Linked DNA regions of Sus scrofa. The protein of the gene in region 1 purifies or fractionates together with the protein of each later gene. This does not show direct contact. Links are inferred from orthologs where the notes say so. Each region holds a gene or a part of one and is shown in the gene's direction. Other genes may lie near its edges. The genes, in order: SNX9, DNM1, DNM3 and SYNJ1.

Region 1 (4,481 bases):
TATTCGAGGGAAGAAAAAAAAGGGAGTTTCTTTGTGACTGGTTTTAAAGTTCCCAGGCAAACATGACACTTTTTTTTTTCTTTTCTGCCTTTTTGCCTTTTCTTTTGAGGGCTGCTCCCACGGCATATGGAGGTTCCCAGGCTAGGGGTCGAATCAGAGCTGTAGCCACCGGTCTTCACCACAGCCATAGCAATGCAGGATCTGAGCCGAGTCTGCAACCTACACCACAGCTGACGGCAACGCCGGATCCTTAACCCGCTGAGCGAGGCCAGGGATCAAACCTGCAACCTCATGGTTTTAGTCGGATTCATTAACCACTGAGCCACGATGAGAACTCCACTTGACACATTTTTAACATCACTAAAATTCGGTTGATGGCTACTTTTTTGCTTTCCTACTTTTGAAAATGTATTATTTAAATTTTAAACTGTTATAGATTTCTATCTATTTTTTCAGCATCCCTGTTCAATTATTATGTGAGTCCTACTGAATTGAGTAATGCTTTCTAGAAGTCACAAACCCTTTCTTCTTTTTTACCCTTGACCACAGGTCAGCAGTGGCAATGACCCCTGGTCAGCCTGGAATCCCTCCAAGTCTGGAAACTGGGATAACACGGATGGCTGGGGAGCCAAGCCAGAGGGGGCTGCAGCTCAGAGAAACACTTCCAACAACTGGGACGCTGCCTTCGGTCATCCCCAGGCCTACCAAGGCCCAGGTGAGGAGGAGGCTCTGCCGTCGGTGGACAGGTTTCATCTCAGGAACCGTTCTCAGCGGCCCGCATTCACTAACAGCAGACTTGTTTGTCTGGATCCAGATGTAGGCATTCTTTTCTTTTTTGCCTTTTGGCCTTTTTTTCTTTTTTGCTTTTTAGGGCCACACCTGTAGCATATGGAAGTTCCCAGGATAGGGGTCAAATTGGAGCTGCAGGCCTGCACCAAGCCTCAGCAAATCGGGATTCAGGCCACATCTGTAACCTCCACCACAGCTCATGGCAATGCTGGATCCTTAACCCCCTGAGCGAGGCCGGGGATCAGACCTGCATCCTCATGGATGCTGGTCAGGCTCTTAACCTGCTGAGCCACAATGGGAATTCCCAGTGGTCTTCAGTTATGAGCTTTAGTCCACTCTCAGTTATCTGTCATGGAGTCACAAATAGAAACGCTTGTGGGCCCAGGTTCATAAAGCAAAGCCACAGAGCCACCCCATGCGGAAGATGGAGGTGGGCAGCCCTGCTCTGGAGCGGATTGACACCATTGCAGAGCTGAGCTGGTGTTTCTGGGCCTCCACAGTTCCAGAGACTGGAATCTCAATTTTTATGTCATCTTCCCACTTTAAAATCTTAGCAGCTAACACACTTGTTTTTAAATCTTGGCTCCAAAAATGTGCACACAGATTGAATATGGTCATCAGCGGCCAGTTTATGACCTCTCACTTGGCTCTTCTGTCTTTTCTTTACCTCTCTGACTCCCAGGTTCTTAACAGAAATTGAGGCAAAAGCAGAATTTCTAAAAGGAGAAACACTTGAGGAATTAGGAAAGGCTGTTTATGTCTGTTCTGGGATTAAATAAAACAAGGAGAGATCCACCCAGTAATTTTAATGATTCCCATATGAGTACATTGTGCCAGGAATTGAATGTGCTGAATGGCGGGGGACTCGCCTGCAGGAGCCGTACGGGCCCAGGTGCTGGTTCCAAGCTCCCAGTCGTGGACAGGAGCTTGGCTGCTGGCCGGCCCAGGAGCTGTGGGTGGAGCAGAAACGGCGAGACTAGACTGCTGACACCTGCTCCTCGAGTAGCTTGGCGTGGCCCGGGCGTCTTGGCTCAGATCCTTCTAATACTTTCTTTCCCCTCCTTTTCTGTTTCGCCATTCGTCTCTCAGCTTCTCTCGATGGCACTCTTTGGGCAGAAATCCAGGGCAGTTTCCTGCCTGATGCTAAGGGGACATCTCAGGGAGACAGAGGCACGGAGCAGTGGAAGAGAAAGGGCGGGGGCAGCGAGGCTGGCAGCGCCTTGCCCGACACAGACTCTTCCCGGAATGCTGGGCCCCTGGCGCCAGCTGGCTGCTGCCCGTCCCTCTCCTCTCTCCCTCCTCCACCAGCTCGCCCTTCTCACCTGCGTTATCATCAGTGTTGAACAGCTGCTTTTCAGAGACCTAGGGTCCCCTTCGGCCCCTCCAGTCTTCTCTGTTTAAAGGGTGTTTGATCTGCCTGACCTATCAGCATGCCAGCCTTTGGAAGCCCTTCCCTGGCCCACTGAGCGTGTTAATAGTTGGCATCTACCTGAAGGTACTGGGACTGGCAACCCACTTTAAGTTGTTTCCAGCTTGTCTTTTGCTCTAAAAAAATCTTCCAGCCTCAAAACTGACCGCAGAGCGTGTACTTGTCAGGTCTTTAGTGTGGTCCTGCCCCCGCCCCTTTTCTCCGAGTTTTCGTACACGGTTAACCCGGTTGACGGTTGTTATCAGAAAAGTGTCATCCCGTTTTTATCTTGTTTTCCTTTGCTGACGATCTTCTTTGCCTCCCGCCAGCCACTGGGGACGATGACGACTGGGACGAAGACTGGGATGAGCCCAAGTCGTCGTCTCCCTACTTCAAGGACGGAGAGTCGGCCGAAGCCGGAGGAGCCCAGCGGGGAAACAGCCGGGCGGGCTCCTCCTCCATGAAGCTGCCGCTTAACAAGTAGGTTTCAGGGCACTGGGGGAACATGAACTCTCTGTAGAAACAGATATAAGATGGGGTTCCTGTCGTGGCGCAGTGGAAACAAATCTGACTAGGAACCATGAGGTTGCGGGTTTGATCCCTGGTCTTGCTCAGCGGGTTAAGGATCCGGCGTTGCCGTGAGCTGTGGTGTAGGTCAGAGACGCGGCTCGGATCCTGAGTTGCTGTGGCTGTGGCGTAGGTCGGCGGCTATGGCTCCAAATCGACCCCTAGGCTGGGAACCTCCATATGCTTCAGGTGCGGCCCTGAAAAAACAAAAAGACCGAAAAAAAAAAAGAAAGAAAGAGACAGATGTAAGATGCAACAAGGAGATCCCATTGTGGCTCAGCAGGCTAAGAACCTGACATCGTGTCCGTGAGGATGCAGGTTTGATCCCTGGCCTCACACAGTGGGTTAAGGGTCCAGTGTTGCCACAAGCTGTGGTGTAGGTCATAGATGTGACTTAGATCTGACGTTGCTGTGGCTGTGGCATAGGCTGCATCTGCAGCTCTAATTCAACCCCTGGCCCAGGAACTTCCATATGCCGCAGGTACAGCCATAAAAAGAAAAGAAAAAAATAAGATGATGATATGAAGAGGCACTTTTCTCTTGTCAGTGGTCTACCAAGTTTTGGGTGTGATTTGATCATGTTTATGTGGCTCTTTGCTTGGAGGTTTGTTTGAAAGTTTTGGGTTTTTTTTTTTCATCTTAAAGTGAAATATTTGTTCCATGTAATGATATGCTGAATATTGGTTTTATCAACTCATTGCTGATGTACAGCAAAGCTAAACATAATGTTAACTTTCTTACAAATGTTTCACTATTCATTGGTCTTGTGCCCCGTGCCAGGCTTTGTGCAAAGCAGTTTGTGCACATTCTCATGCGACCCTCTGTTTCACTCTGGGAGCAGCCGAAGCCCAGAGAGGGAAGTCACTGCCCAGGTTCACACGGGTAGAAGTGATTTCCTCGGGACTCAGGCCAGCCCCTGACCTCCTGAGCGCACACTCACAGCTGCTCTGCCTCATGTGCCTCAGACTTTGTTTTCACTGGGCTTATCCTTAGGTTTGTCCTGTTTTGAGTGGTGCCGTAGAGACGCTGCCTCGCGGAAAGCGTGCGGAAGAGGAGGGCTGTGGACACAGCCCTGTGGGTTCCCCGGTAGAGAGTTCTGGATGAGTCTGTAGTTTACACCCAGTGGAGCTTGAAGGACATAGAGTCTATGACTTCCAGACGATTTATCTTCAAATACTCTTCTTACATTTAAAAAGTTTTCTGGAATTCCCGTCGTGGCGCAGTGGTTAACGAATCCGACTAGGAACCATGAGGTCTCGGGTTCCGTCCCTGCCCTTGCTCAGTGGGTTAATGATCCGGCATTGCCGTGAGCTGTGGTGTAGGTTGCAGACGCGGCTCGGATCCCGAGTTGCTGTGGCTCTGGCGTAGGCCAGTGGCTACAGCTCCGATTCAACCCCTAGCCTGGGAACCTCCATATACCGCGGAAGCGGCCCAAGAGATAGCAACAACAACAACAACAACAACGACAAAAGACAAAAAGACAAAAGACAAAAAAAAAAAAAAAAAAAAAAAGACAAAGATAAAAAGTTTTCTAGCTGTGAGCTGTGGTGCAGGTCGCAGACGCGGCTCAGATCCCACGTTGCTGTGGCTCTGGTGTAGGCCGGCAGCTGCAGCTCCGATTTGACCCCTAGCCTGGCAACCTCCACGGGCCGCGGGTGCAGCCCTCAAAAGACAGAAGACAAAAAAGAAAAAAAAAGCAGTTTTTCTAGGGAAGTTC
Region 2 (5,095 bases), about 260 Mb from region 1:
TGCAGGATGTCAGTTACATCTGCAACCTAACGCCGGATCCTTAACCCACTGAGTGAGGTCAGGGATCGAACCCACATCCTCATGGATACTAGTCAGGTTATTAACCCCCTGAGCCACAAGGGGAACTCCCTCTGCTCACGTTTTTACCAGAGTCCTCCCCCAATCACCCTATCAAAATAGCAACATTGCCCTCGCCTCCAACCTTCCCTAGCTTTTTTGTTTTCCAAAGCTCCCATCTCTATCTGACAATTCTATTTATTGGCTTGTTTGTGCCTTGTCCTCTTTTTTCCACTAGACTGTTAGCCAGATGTGGGTAAGGATTTTGTTCATTGTGCTCATTGCTTTATCTCTGGAGTCTAGCAGAGCCCCTGGTCAATAAATATGCCTCACACGGGTGCATGAGTGACCGTCTCTGCCTCACAGGCCACTGATCTGCCAGCGCTGCGGCCACTCTGTTCACACACAGGGTGACCCACAACAGCACGGGACAGGCTGGCCTCTCTTTCCTAGCCTCCTAATGGGGAATCCAAATTAGGTTCCTTAAGGGCAGAGGTGGATGGCTAGGCCTGGGGCCCCATGGTCTCTCCATGCGACAAGGATACCAGGGGTAGGGCTGTGGGAGTCCTAGATTCAAATCCCACTGTTTTACCACCACCGTGATGGATGGGTTTGGAAAAGGCTGCCACTTTCCCAAATGAGAAGGCCCAACTCTCCCAAGAAGGGTCTTCCCAGCATCATGCACTTTGTACTTGTGGTTCACTTGGGCTGGCATGCTCCTCCCCCCTGATCTGCCTGCCTGTGGCTGGTTCCTTCTCATCATTTAGGTCTCCCCTCCATACCACCTTCTCAGGGAACCCCCCTAATCTCCCAGGCTAAAGAGGCCTCTTTGCACCCACACAGGTACCCCTCTTCACACCCCTTGTGTATTTCTTCCATCCCTATTAGTATAAGCTATTTTCACTTGCACTGTTTCATGTACCTATTTATTCATTTACTGTCTGTCCCCACCACCTGGAAGTTAAGATCTATGAGGGTGGAGACCTTGGTTGTCTTGCTCACTGCTGTGTCTCCAGTGCCTCGGACAGGGTCTGGCTTATAAGTAGGTGTTCCGTAAATTTTCATTGAATTCATGTTCTGTTATCTTCTCATTCTAGAAACAGGGAAACTGAGGCCCAAGGAGGGGAAGGGACAGGCCAGAGATGAATTAGTGTCAGGACGTACAGTAGAAGGCAGTGAGGCCAAGTGACACTCCAGGTCACTGAGACTGTGACCTCGCAGGAGGCCCATCTCTCCAAGCCTCAGTTTCCCCATCTGGAAGATGGAGTAAGGCAGCCATGACAACCATCCGTGGGGCCCGGTACGAAGACTGCCTAGTGCCTAGGACATTTTGCCCATTTACAGGAACGACATCTACTGCGAAGCCTTCGCCCCCCCCACCCCCGCCCAGACACGGCTCCAGCGCCCCAAAAGCCGCAGAAGGAGAAAACTACAATCCCCATGGTGCAGCGGCGGGCGCCTGCGCATGGCTGCCGGCCCGCAGCACTTTGGGCGCCCTCTAGCGGCACCCTGGCGCAGCGCTCCGCTCCGATCCCCGAGGGGCGGGGGACCCGCGGCGCAGGCAGTCGGAGCGCGCGGCTGCAGCGGCGGAGCCGAAGCCGAGAGCACCAGCGGCGGCCGCATCGCAGCCCGCGGGGCCCGCCGCAGCCATGGGCAACCGCGGCATGGAGGATCTCATCCCGCTGGTCAACCGGCTGCAGGATGCCTTCTCTGCCATCGGCCAGAATGCGGACCTCGACCTGCCGCAGATCGCCGTGGTGGGCGGCCAGAGCGCCGGGAAGAGCTCGGTGCTCGAGAATTTCGTAGGCAGGTAGGAGCGGCGCGCCCCTGAGCGCGGACTCCCCCAGCTCGGGTCCTCCCGGCCTTCGCCACCCGGCCCCGACGGCGCCGCGACCTCACAGCCCCAGGCTGGGCGCCGCGGATCGCGCGCCCCCCACCTCCAGCCCGAAGGAGGCGGCCCTCCCCTCCCCAAGAGCCCCTCAGGGGCGCAGCACCCCCTCCTTGTCCGCAAACGTCAAGCCGGCGACCACGGGATCACGCCCCCCTCCTCCGCCCCATCCTTTAGGGAAGACAGCGCTGTGCCAAGAGACCCTGGTAAAGGACTGTCCCCCACCCCCCACCCTCCATGGGCACTGAGGGGCCTGCATTACTCAGCACCTCCCTACGGCTCTGGCGGGGGGGGGTCCCTTAAAGCGGGCAGCGTCCCCAGGGCAGTTCCCCCACCCCCAGGCTCTACGGAGGACAGCTCCCTCCCTTCACGGGAATTCCTGGACCTTGGCAGGGGACACCCCCCCAATTGCCCCTGGGAGAAGACATAGCCCCCTGGGCATGTCACACAGCCTCCCCCCGCCGTCACACACACACACCTCTGCGGCCCCAGCCGCCATCCGTGCGCAGCGCGGAAGAAGGGGGAGGCGCGGGCTGCAGGATGGGTTGGGGGGGATCCTTTACTGAGCAGCCGGCCCCTTGCCCCGCCGCCGCCCCTGGGTGGGGTGGGGGGCGCCTGTCAGTGTTGTTCTCCCCTTGGCCTGGCAGAGGAATTGTAATGGAGGGAGAAGGCGGCGGAGGGCAGAGATGACTAAGACAGGGAGGCAGGATGGCGGGGAGGAGGGGGGGGGAGCCATTTGCACAACCTAATCCCCCTCCTGCCTCTGATCCCACAAGGCGCTGGGAGGGCCAGGTGGCAGGGAGTGGGGGGCAACCACAAAGACAAAGGACCCCGGGTTTAGGGAGGCAGGCAGGGTCGTGACCCCCCCAGGGTTCCCCAAGAAAGGGGAGGTGGAGATGGCTTTTCGGGTGCTGAGAAGGAGAGAGGGGGCGCTCTCCTGGTGCTGGAGGTGGGGGGTGCTGGGCAGACTGAGGGAGGAGGCAGGAGAATTGACACTGACCTCCCCCCTCTGTCATCTCCCTCTCTCACCTTCATCAGAAACCCTAGCTTTCTTCCAATGACCTTCATGGCTAAAGAAGCCAATGGCACATGGGAGAGGGAGGCAGGCAGAACTTCCCCCTCAGAGGGACGCAGTTCTGGGGCAAAACATCCTGGGTCCAAGCCAGGCTCTGCTGTGAAACCTCAGGCGAGTCACTACCCTCTCTGAGCCTCTGTTTCACCATCTCCAGTGCGGACAGCCAGGCTGGAGAGGTCCTGCCTCTTAAATGACCTGGGAAGCCCAGCACCAACCCCAGGGGCGAGAGGAGAGGGTCCTGCCTGGAGCCATGTATCTGTGAGCTGTTGGAAAGCCACTGTGGGGGTGGCCAGACCCATCTGGTCAGCAGAGAGGGGTGCCGTCTGTTTCCAGGGGACGGACTCCCACAGAACCCCCCCCTCCTGCTCATGTGACACCCCCCCTCCCCAGAGCTGCAGAGACACCAGCATGAGACACACAGATGGGCCCCTTTCCTAAGGGCCGGCAGTCAGAGTCCAGGGAGGGGGGGTGAACCCTGGAGACAATAAAGCCCTGAGGCCTTGGTGCTGTAAATGACACGGACACCCAGCACTTTACAGTGTGCAAACCACAGTCCTTCCTTCCATCCGCTGGACGGCTGCTGAACCCCTGCTCTGTGCCTGCTGCGTGCTCTGCGCAGGGGCTGCAGAGGGGAAGGTGACCCCAGCAGCCGTCTGCTGAGCCCTTCCCACAGGCCCCACACCATGCTCTATAGGCTGGGTCACACAGCCTCATGAGGCAGGTGCCCTGGTGGTCCTCCCGCAGGTGAGGAAACAGACCCTGAGGTTGGAGGCCTTGCCCAAGGTCACACAGCCAGGAAGGACAGCATCTATTAGACTCCCATGTCCAGCCCACCCAGTCTGAGCACCAAGCTTTGCACTGAGCTCGGGGACGTGCAGGTGTGGGGGCCCCATTTTCCGCATCTGGGGAATGGACACACTGACAGCTGCCGCCCTGCCTTCCTGATCTTGGCTGTGGGGCTCCAGGGAGCTCAAGGGTGGCAAAGCCCTCTTTTGTAAACATGTGGGAGGGAGCTGTGGATAGGTTTGGGGACACACCTGGACGGTGGCCTCTTGGAGCGCACTGTCCAGCAGAGAGGTGCCAGTGGGGAGACAGGCCCGGCCACCGTCTGCAACTGTTCGCTTGTCAGCTGGTGGAAAAGATGTGGACTCTGCTGGGGAGGCCGGGGCCCTCTTTCCACCCTCTGCCACCCAGTACCCGTTGATGGTGGGTGCACAGGGTCACCAGATGAGGCAGGCCCCTGGCAGAGCAGGAGGCTGGGCCTGGGGCTAAGGAGTGAATGGGGAGGTATGGCTTGATACTCGTGAAAGCCAGCAAGGAGGCCAGGGCTGGAGTGCAGATAAAATGTGAGCATTTTGCCAGGGCCCCAAGCTTCCCTTTGTCTGCCCCCCGCCGCGAGCCCCCTCCCCACAACATCTGTCCAGCCCCAAGTCCAGCATCCTGGAAGAGGCTTCCAGGCTCCTGTGCCCCTGGCCTCGCTCATTCTAGTGCCCAGGCCTGCTGGCAGTTGGGCAGTGCCCAGCTTCCCTCCAGCTTGACCCCTGGTGAAGCCAAGGCCAGTGGGAATGTGGCAGAGGGGCTGAGGGCTCGGGCTCTGGCATCAGACCTGGGTTTGTAGCTCAGCTCTGCCACTTACAAGCTGGGCACTATTGAGCATGGTTTTGAAGCCCTGCTCAGCCCTGCTTGCTCTGCCGTGGCTCTCAAGCTCCCGACCTAGGGCTGGGTCCCCAGACCCGTGAGCATGGTAACAGTGGCTCTGCCTCCCGAGGCTTTCCGGGAGTCAACCCCCCATGGAGAGGAAGTGGAAAATACTCCAGAGGAAACAGAGGCTGCTCCAGGCCGGGCTGGGCTCCCGGGCACCCAGGAGGAGCCTGCTGTCAGCTCTGCAATGGAGGTGGCCCAGATAGCTGCCCAGGACCCTGCCAGGACTTGCCTGGGGCTAGGCTGTGACTTCATTCCCCTTTTAACAGAGGGGAAACTGAGGCTGGTTCCCTCCGTCATTCAGCAGACATCCACGGAGTGTCCATGATGTCTCGGCACTGGGGATTTCATAGTAGAAAAGACAGAAGCTCGCC
Region 3 (4,481 bases), on another chromosome or scaffold:
CATATTAAATGCATCATTGTATCTTCCTCCATTAAAAAATTGTCATATGTAGAAAAGAATTTTTCTTGGTTTTGAGTATGTCCTAGTTTATCTTTTTCTTTTACTCTTGGCTTTGGTTAAGCTCCTATTAAAACCTCTTCAAGTTACAGAGAAAGGAAAATTATTTCTGTTTAGGCCCTAGGTCATCATCAAAAGAAACTGTTCTCTTTGCAAAGACTGGGCCTTGCCTCTGTAATTCTATTGGACTCATATTACAATTTTCTGCAGCCAGATTCTTCCCTTGTAGGGAACTGATTCAGCTCCTTTCCTTTCTTTCTTCCTCCTCCTTCTCTCCCTCCCTTTCTACCTTCCATATTGCCTGCTCTTTTTTTTTTTTTTTTTTTTGTCTTTTTGCTATTTCTTGGGCCGCTCCCGTGGCATATGGAGGTTCCCAGGCTAGGGGTCTAATCGGAGCTGTATTCTCCGGCCTACGCCAGAGCCACAGCAACGGGGGATCCGAGCCGCGTCTGCAACCTACACCACAGCTCACGGCAACGCCGGATCGTTAACCCACTGAGCAAGGGCAGGGACCGAACCCACAACCTCATGGTTCCTAGTCGGATTCGTTAACCACTGCGCCACGACGGGAACTCCTTGCCTGCTCTTATCTCTGTGCATTACACTTGATGTCTGGCCCTGTGCTATCCACTGGGGCTTCAGCAAGGGATAAGATTTTTGCCTTCAAGAAGACGTCATAGTATAGCAAGAGAAACAGACATATAAGTAACTTTGTTAAAATCTGATAAATGCTACATTTCTGGTAATTATAAAATATTAAGGAATCCCAGATGAAGAGCAGTTACATGGGAGTAAGAGTACGAATTCAGAGAGATCCTGAAATATGGGAGGAGTTTGTTAGGTGGCAAAAGGAGGTTAAGAGAATAGTGTGAACCTCTGAGCAGCTTGTTCTAGTCGACCAGGTGGCTGGGATATAGGATATGCAGAAAGCAGTGACTAGAGGTAAATTTTCAAAAGTTTCCCAGTGTTCCTTACCTTTCCAGGTGTTTCAAATTAGATTAACATTAGCATATACATGAATATAGCTATATCCAATTATGGTCTAGCTTTTCCGACCTAAATATTTGCAGTTACCTTTTTTTCTTTTTTTTTCTTTTTTTTTAAAAAGGGCTGCACCTACTGCATATGGAGGTTCCCAGGCTAGGGATCTAATTGGAGCTGTAGCTGCTGGCTTACTCCAGAGCTACAGCAACGCCAGATCCGAGCCATGTCTGTGACCTACACCACAGCTCATGGCAACGCCAGATCCTTAACCACTGAGCAAGGCCAGGGATCGAACCTACAACCTCATGGTTCCTAGTCAGATTCATTTCCACTGCGCCACGACAGGGAGTCCCTAGTTGCAGTTACTTTTAATTCATCCATGATTTTGATGAAAGAGCATAAAAGATGCAAACTTTAGATGGTTTGAATTGTGTTATTAGGTTTTGAATTTGAAAGTAGTGCCAGTATGTCAAAATTAGAGTTTCTAAAGCTAGTAATCACAAATACAAGTAGTCAGTTTTCCCCTATAATATATGTTTTTTGTATCAACCACCCTGAGGTAATTTATTTCTTCATTGATCTTATTGAATACCTCTTCTATGCTGAGACAGGGGAAGTAAATAAAATGCATGGTCCTTGCCCTTAGAAGAGGGACTGATAAATGAACAATGGTGATATACTCTGCTAAGTGCTTTGTTGAAAGTATACTGAGGAAGCTGAGGAGGGAGCCCTTCATCCGGGTGGCAAAGAGTGGTGAAGGTGGGTAGGACCATGGGTCATGGGATGTTTCCTGGGAAAACTAATGCTCGAGCTGAGTCTTGACGGACAGATGAAAGTTAGCCAGACAAAGAAGCACAAGGCAGAGCAGAAAGGAAAACAAGTGTAAAAGTGTAGAGACTTGGTGCATGTGGGGAACTGTGATACAGCTTGGAAGCTGAGTGGGGATGAGTGGTAAGAAACAGGGCAAACAGGGCCAGACCATGGAGAGTCTTAGGTGATGGGGTCAGGAGATTTAATTTTACTAAACTCTGAGGAGTCATTGAAAAACAAGGCTGGTGCTAGTTGTAAAGGTGCATGGGTGGAGGCCACAAATTTGCATTGTTTAGCACAGTGAGGTCTCTGATGCTGGGGCCCAGAAAGAGAATAGCTCATGAAGTGAGACAGTGGGAGACTAAGTGATTGTGATGCCACAAGAGTCATGGCTCATTTGACTATTATACATCAAGTTGTATTGCTTAACTTTCATTCTTAATTTAGGTGTTTTTAAATACCATTTCATGTTTGCAACTAAATGGACAGAATGCATTTAATGACACAGATGTTTCAAATATATATCTTTTAAATTAAATGTCTAAAATAAATCTTAATAACGTGTACTTCATATTGTTACATTTTGCATGCTGAATAGAGTGCAATGTTAATTCTGCCAGTAGGTGCCACTAAGAACCCCAGGAAAAGAATTTTGAGGGATAACCGTAGCAAATTAAAATGAAAAACATGAAGCCTTGTAACCTTAACTTAAATTTATTTCTCTTTCACAATTATAGGATGGTTCAGCAATTTGCTGTGGACTTTGAGAAGAGAATTGAAGGGTCAGGGGATCAAGTAGATACACTGGAGCTCTCAGGGGGTGCTAAAATCAATCGTATTTTCCATGAACGCTTTCCTTTTGAGATAGTAAAGGTTAGTACCATATATTGTTCTTTTTCCCTTTGTCTCATTTCATTTCTATGTAACTGTTCATAAAATGTTATGTGAGTGGTATGGGACTAAGGTGATTCTTTAAATGAAAGCCTCCACACTTAACTAATGAAATTTAGAGAGCAATATTTTCTTACTGATTTTATTTAATGGAATTGAATGACATTTGAAATAATTCAACAACTGCTAATTGGTTCCTATGATGTTTATTTATTGTCTAATTAATTTCAAAATATTTCTTGAGCACCTACTGTGTACCAGTGAGCTAGGTGCTGGGGATCAAGACAGAGACACCGTCTGGTGGGAGAAGGCAGAAAATTAACAAATAGGCAAAGTAGGAATATATCAAGTATATTATTATGTAGCATAGTGTGAGAGAAATGGGAGATGGATAGCCACTTTGGGTGGAATGTTCGGGCAAGGTCTCTCTGACTGCGGGATCTTTAAAGCATGACCAGAATGACATGAAGAGGTCAGCCGTAAGGATCTGGAGGAAGAAGGTTGTCCAAGGCCAGAAGTCAAAGACAAGGCCCTAAGGCAAGCACCCATAGAGCAGGTGAGGAACCCTTGAGGCTGGTGCAGAGCTGGTGAAGGAGAAGGTAGAGAAAACGAATTCAGAGGAAGAATGTGCCCAGTTTAGGCAGGGCTTTCTAGGTTGCTGTGAGGTGTTTACATTTAACAATGGGAAGTCAGAGGAGAGTTTTAAGCAAAGGTGTGACCTGATTTGGTTGGTGATTTAAAAAGAACACTATGTGGATTGGATTGTAAAGGGACAAGGGTGGATTCAGGAAGACAAGTAAGGTGAGTTAAACAGCAGGGGCAGAGCCGAGGTGGATCCCTTTCTGTGGGGCCTGAAACCTGTATAATTTGGGGGGCTCCCTTGAAGAAGAAGAAGAATACAAAATTATGAACACACAGGCACAGGTCTTGGAAGGAACTTATGCAAGGAAGAAGCCCTAAAACTTATAAACTTCTTTAGCTTTATAGTAAAAATGCCTCAGAAGAGAGGCTTGAGAGGAGAGGTGCATTTGTGATTTTGATGGTAATGGCAGTAGGAGTTGGTTTGATATGGGAGATGCAAGAAAGAGACGAGTCAAGATGACTCCCAAGATTTTGTCTTGCAAACTGAGAGTTAGTGCCCAGAAGAGGAGGGGAACTGAGGAAAAGCTCAGTGTTAAGTTATGAATCAAGGGTTCTGTTTTGGGTATGTTAAGTTTGAAAGGCCCAATAGGCAGCTGCATAGTTTTAGGGACCATGTTACTTGCCTCACATACGGAGGTGGGTGCTTATGTCTTGGTGTAGGAGGCTGATGGGTAAATAGACAGTTTCATTAAAATGTGCTGATATATAAAGTGATAAACTTCAGTACAGGGTGCTATGGAAACACAGCCCGTGAACATGAATCCCAGCCCAACAGTGTAAGAGAGCCTGGCTCCTGAGCTCAGTTAAGAAGGATGAACAGCTGGTTAAGCAGGAAAGGTGGGTTGGGGTTGGGGGGAAGATTGTTCCAGACAGAAATGGAGGAATAGTAAAGGCTGAGAGGTGGAGGCACAGGATGTGGATAGGGAACTAAAGTGATTCCTAAAGTGTGAGGGGGACAATGGACATGCAGAGGCTGGAGAGGCCAAATCTCAGAAGTCAGCGACTGAACCAAATTTTCTCTTGATATCCCTTCTAGTTCTAAGCTCAGTGGCACTTTGATCCTACTTCCAAATAAATTTAAGTTACCTAGGACTTCT
Region 4 (4,436 bases), on another chromosome or scaffold:
CAGTTGTCAAAGTCAGTTTCGGTATTTTTAAATAAGGTAAGCTTTAAATATTAGGGAAGATGTGCTCAAACTGTTTCTTGAGACTACTGTAACTTTTAAAAGCACTGTTACAGAAAGATTATGATTTCATTTTTAAACAACGAAAAAAGGATCCAGTTTTTTGCTTTGTTTTACCTTCCAACTAATAAAGTGAATTAATGATAGTATCACCCTTCAAAAAATTTGAGTAATGTAGACTAAGCCCGGATCCTGAACATTTGTTAAAAAAACTAATTTTCACCTTTTTGCAAAGTGATGCTATTTTCTTTAATGATGATAAAGCCATAGGCTACCTTAAGGCCATGTCCTACTCTTCTTGGGCCTTCAGAACAAAATACCATAAACTGAGTGGCTCAAACAGTAGAAATTTGTTCTCTCATAGCTCTGGAGGCTGGACGTCCAAGATCAGGATGCCAAGGTAGTTGGGTTCTGGTGACAGCTCTTTTCCTGGCTTGCAGACAGCTGCCCTTCTGCTGCGTGTTCACATGGCCTGTCCTTGGTGCTTGCACGAGAAGAAAAAGAGCAAGAGAGCAAGCCGCTGGCCTGTCTCCTCCTGAGGCTGCTAATCCCATCATGAGGGCCTCACCTCATCTAACCCCAGTTACCTCCCAAAGGCCACATCTCCAAATGCCATCACATTGGGGGTTAGGGCTTCAACACAGCAGTTCTGGGGGGACACAAACATTTCATCCAAAACAGTCTGCTTAAAATAGTTTAGAGCGCCAAAAACCTATTTAGCATATTGTTTTGGGGACGACCGCTTTGAACCAGTTAGTAATCAGCCTCAGAGAAAACTAAAGTTTGAGCTCTAATTTACCCATGTATTGTTCATTGGAAATGACAGAAGAAGTTGGAATTATCTCTTGATCTTATGCTGTGACCCGTAAATACCACTGCTTTTGGATTTTGTGTGTAATGTAGAACTAAATGTAATATAATATATTGAAGATTGAATTGTTAGGGTTGCCGGTTGGTCTCAGATTATCCTCCTAACTCTTTCCTTTGATGTCTGTGTTCCCTTTCTCAAAGCAGGAGCAACCATCAGGGTAACAGGTATTGGATAATTTCTCAATCTTGTATGTGCTTCTCATCTGTCTTAGCACATTAGATGTATGAATCTTTTGCTTCATACATCTAAAGTTTCACTCATTTTAAAACCACGTGTCCACATTAATAAATTCTGTTATCATACCATAGTAGAGACTGCTGTTTTTCTTAGTACTTTGAATTTTTAGGAACCGTTTTAGTTGTTCTTGCTAATGCTTTCCCTTTTTTTTTTTTTTTTTTGGCTTTGTTTCTTACAAAAATTAACAAAACTAAAAAATGTCACTTCAAGAAGGTAAGCTTTAGGCATACAAAAGTCTGGCGAAATCAAATTGGTTCTTGTTTTTAACAATGGCACAATTAAATAAATACAGATTTAACTTTTATTCTTAGATGTCTTTGGGGAAATTTTAAAAAAATAATTTTAGTAGCAAGACTCTTTTTGCTAAGGCAGAATTGATGATTTACAAAGATACAAGTTAACATTGTAACAAGATTATAAGAGGCCTTCCAACACCCTTCTCTGTAAAAATACCATCGTCATTAATATCATCATCACAAATCCTGCTTTATGAGTTAGTTCTAATGTCATGAAGGATGGTGTGGCTCTCATTCTAATTTCAAGTCTGATTGGGCAAAATGATCTTGTTTCTAGCAAATTACCTTGAAATTATTTTGAAAGAAAAAAGTTTAGTATATGAAAATAAAGCTATTTCAATGTGTAACATTTATTTGGCAAGAGCCTACTCTTCTAAGCTGTGCGGAACATAAACTTCTCACCTATAATGTCTGTGTTGTGAACTCTTCTTTCTACCACGGGAAAACTGGGTCCCAGACCCAATCGAGTCCTTCGCTTTTGGTATGTGAATCATAAATAATCCAGACATTATTGGTAATATAGAGTTAATTACAATGTTATAATGTCCATTAACACATTTGTCTTAAGTACCTTTCCTCATATGGGTCTGCTTCCCTTCCGTACACTTAGAATGTAATTCAGAGTCTGTGACGTGTTTATTCTTCAATTTTGTACAAATTTATTGTTCATATTAAGTTTGAAGAAAAACATATTTGTTTCCTCAATTATGAAGTATGTTTTAGATCACTCTGAAAACAGATACCAGACAGAGGGCGATTCACTTAGGAGGTTATCTACACCAGTTCCTTTGGCAAATGAACAGCCTTCCCTATTCCTAAGCACCAAGTTACTGCTTCAAGATGCAATTGTATTTGTTTCATTGGGACTGCTGCTCTCTTTTCCAGCGTATCTCATGAATGTTTAGCTATTTGCTTTTTTTTTTTTTTTTTTTTTTTTTTTTTGACTGTGCCCATAACATAAGGAAGTTCCTGGGCTAGGGATCAAATGCAAGCAACAGCTGTGGCAACGCCAGATCCTTAACCCACTGTACCACAGTGGGAACTCCATTTAGTTATTTGCTTTAACAACTACCTAAGTGCATTTTGGATAGTGCTCCATTTTTTTACCTCGTAAGTCTTGAGCTAAAATTCTCCTTCCCCTGTCCTTATCCAAGGTTTATTTTCTTCCTCTTAATTTGGCAGAGGTATCCAAGTCACCCATCTACTTTTAATAATTATGCAGAGGTGTGTTTTTTTTTTAATTAAAATGAAGTACCTGATGAGCTAATTGTCTCATTGAGGTCAAGATCACAGTTCTGTTTCCCATAAGAACAGTTGGCTTTTCTCAGTCCCACAGCCGTGCTCCGCTTCAGCCGGCTTCCTTGTGAAAGAGGCACAGAGTGAAGTAATTTTGATCCCTCCTCTTACCAGTAACAGTTCACAGCCAACTCTGTCACATGGAAAGAACTGGGTACCCTCTGCGCACAGCTTCATGTTGGTTTAAGAATTGATAGACGAAATAGAAAATGGGATTCCCCCCCACACACCCTGCCCACACCACACACACACACACACACACACACCCAAGTTGTAAACAATCGCTGCATTTAGTGGTCAACAAATTCTGTTTGGGAGCATGTTTCGATGAGGGAAGGTCCATGGAGGAATATTGTCACATTATTCACAGAGGTGATTCTGTAAAGAAGAACTTTACATTAAAAGGCAAAGAATGCTTTGAAAATTTATTTTTCCAAGTAGAAAAGGAAAAGATGCATGGTCTTCAGCTTATGAATGCAATTATGGTAACAAAACTAACTTTCATCCATAAAGTTGAATTTCCAAAGTCATAGTAACTCTAAATGAAAATATATTTAAATGAACAGAGATGCCACATCATCATCATAGATGGGTGTTGGAAGTTAATTTCTAGAGATTCAGCGTAAGTTCTGAATATGGGTTTCTTTTTTTTTTTTTTTGGCCATGCCTCAGCATGTGGAGTTCCCAGGCCAGGGGTCAGATCCGAGCTGCAGTTGCAACCTCCACCGCAGCTGCAGCAACACTGGGTCCTTAACGCACTGTGCCAGGCTGGGCACTGAACCTGCATCCCAGTGCTCCTAAGACGCCACTGATCCTGTTGAGCCACAGCAGGAGCTCCTGGGTATTGGGTGTCTTCAGTTCGTGTGAACGTCTGATAGAACGGGGCTGAGCAAAACCCATTTGCTAACTCTGTACAGTTCTCCACGCCACCATATCCATACTTGCATGGATGAAATAAGCTCTACTCATTACAAGGACTTACTGAGCCGGGTGTTTTTTAAAAATACAATTTCAGCTGTTGTATCTTACTTAAACCACCAGAGTAACAGACTCAATATACAAAGCTTTTTTTTTTTTTCTAAATTTGTATGCGTGCCCCCCTCCATGAAAAGTAATTGAGACAGGAAGCATAGGGGGTATTCAAAGTAAATAGAATACTTTTTGGTTTTTTTCTGATTATTCAGTGCTCTCTTTTCCAGGTAAAAACAAACGGAGTCTCCGCCGTCAGACTGGACTCGCCATTAAAGAGTGACCCGTTTGAAGACCTGTCGTTGAATCTGCTTACTGTATTAAAGGATCAGTTCCCTGTTCAAACCCCAGACCCAGAGGGGTTGATTCCGTTGCCTTGCGCAACCCCAGGCAACACGAATACTTTGAGTTCTGCAAGCTGCATGCCGACAATGCCTCCAATTCCAGCCCGGAGTAAATCCCAGGAAAACACACGCTGTTCGCCAAACCCATTCGTCACGAGCTCGAGCGGCACAAACCCTTTCACCGACAGGACTGCCGCTCCCGGAAACCCCTTTAGAGCTGGGTCTCAAGAATCAGAGGCAACTTCATGGTTCTCCCAAGAACAGCCTGTTGCTCAGAGTCCTTTCCCTTCTCTGAAGCCTCTTGGTGAGATCAAGCCTGCATCGTCGCTGGAGGGCTTTAAGGACAGTTTTGACCCGAAGGGCCCG

The links.
Region 2: the proteins of SNX9 (region 1) and DNM1 purify together in Homo sapiens (co-immunoprecipitation; 6 studies listed by BioGRID and IntAct, counting the BioPlex papers as one, with this or other methods). This does not show direct contact. The link is inferred for Sus scrofa from reciprocal best matches to the Homo sapiens genes SNX9 and DNM1.
Region 3: the proteins of SNX9 (region 1) and DNM3 purify together in Homo sapiens (co-immunoprecipitation; 3 studies listed by BioGRID and IntAct, counting the BioPlex papers as one, with this or other methods). This does not show direct contact. The link is inferred for Sus scrofa from reciprocal best matches to the Homo sapiens genes SNX9 and DNM3.
Region 4: the proteins of SNX9 (region 1) and SYNJ1 purify together in Homo sapiens (co-immunoprecipitation; 3 studies listed by BioGRID and IntAct, counting the BioPlex papers as one, with this or other methods). This does not show direct contact. The link is inferred for Sus scrofa from reciprocal best matches to the Homo sapiens genes SNX9 and SYNJ1.

Annotation. Positions count from the first base shown.
Region 1 is NC_010443.5:9,165,667-9,170,147, reverse strand, and holds part of SNX9 (sorting nexin-9), read left to right. Parts: intron 1-549; coding exon 550-715; intron 716-2,526; coding exon 2,527-2,677; intron 2,678-4,481. UniProt on the Homo sapiens protein: Involved in endocytosis and intracellular vesicle trafficking, both during interphase and at the end of mitosis. Required for efficient progress through mitosis and cytokinesis. Required for normal formation of the cleavage furrow at the end of mitosis.
Region 2 is NC_010443.5:268,651,468-268,656,562, forward strand, and holds the start of DNM1 (dynamin-1), read left to right. Parts: upstream 1-1,600; 5' UTR 1,601-1,706; coding exon 1,707-1,867; intron 1,868-2,423; exon of another isoform or gene 2,424-5,095. UniProt on the Homo sapiens protein: Catalyzes the hydrolysis of GTP and utilizes this energy to mediate vesicle scission and participates in many forms of endocytosis, such as clathrin-mediated endocytosis or synaptic vesicle endocytosis as well as rapid endocytosis (RE).
Region 3 is NC_010451.4:114,429,585-114,434,065, forward strand, and holds part of DNM3 (dynamin-3), read left to right. Parts: intron 1-2,588; coding exon 2,589-2,724; intron 2,725-4,481. UniProt on the Homo sapiens protein: Microtubule-associated force-producing protein involved in producing microtubule bundles and able to bind and hydrolyze GTP. Most probably involved in vesicular trafficking processes, in particular endocytosis.
Region 4 is NC_010455.5:196,232,718-196,237,153, reverse strand, and holds part of SYNJ1 (synaptojanin-1), read left to right. Parts: intron 1-1,068; coding exon of another isoform or gene 1,069-1,089; exon of another isoform or gene 1,090-1,092; intron 1,093-3,956; coding exon 3,957-4,436. UniProt on the Homo sapiens protein: Phosphatase that acts on various phosphoinositides, including phosphatidylinositol 4-phosphate, phosphatidylinositol (4,5)-bisphosphate and phosphatidylinositol (3,4,5)-trisphosphate. Has a role in clathrin-mediated endocytosis.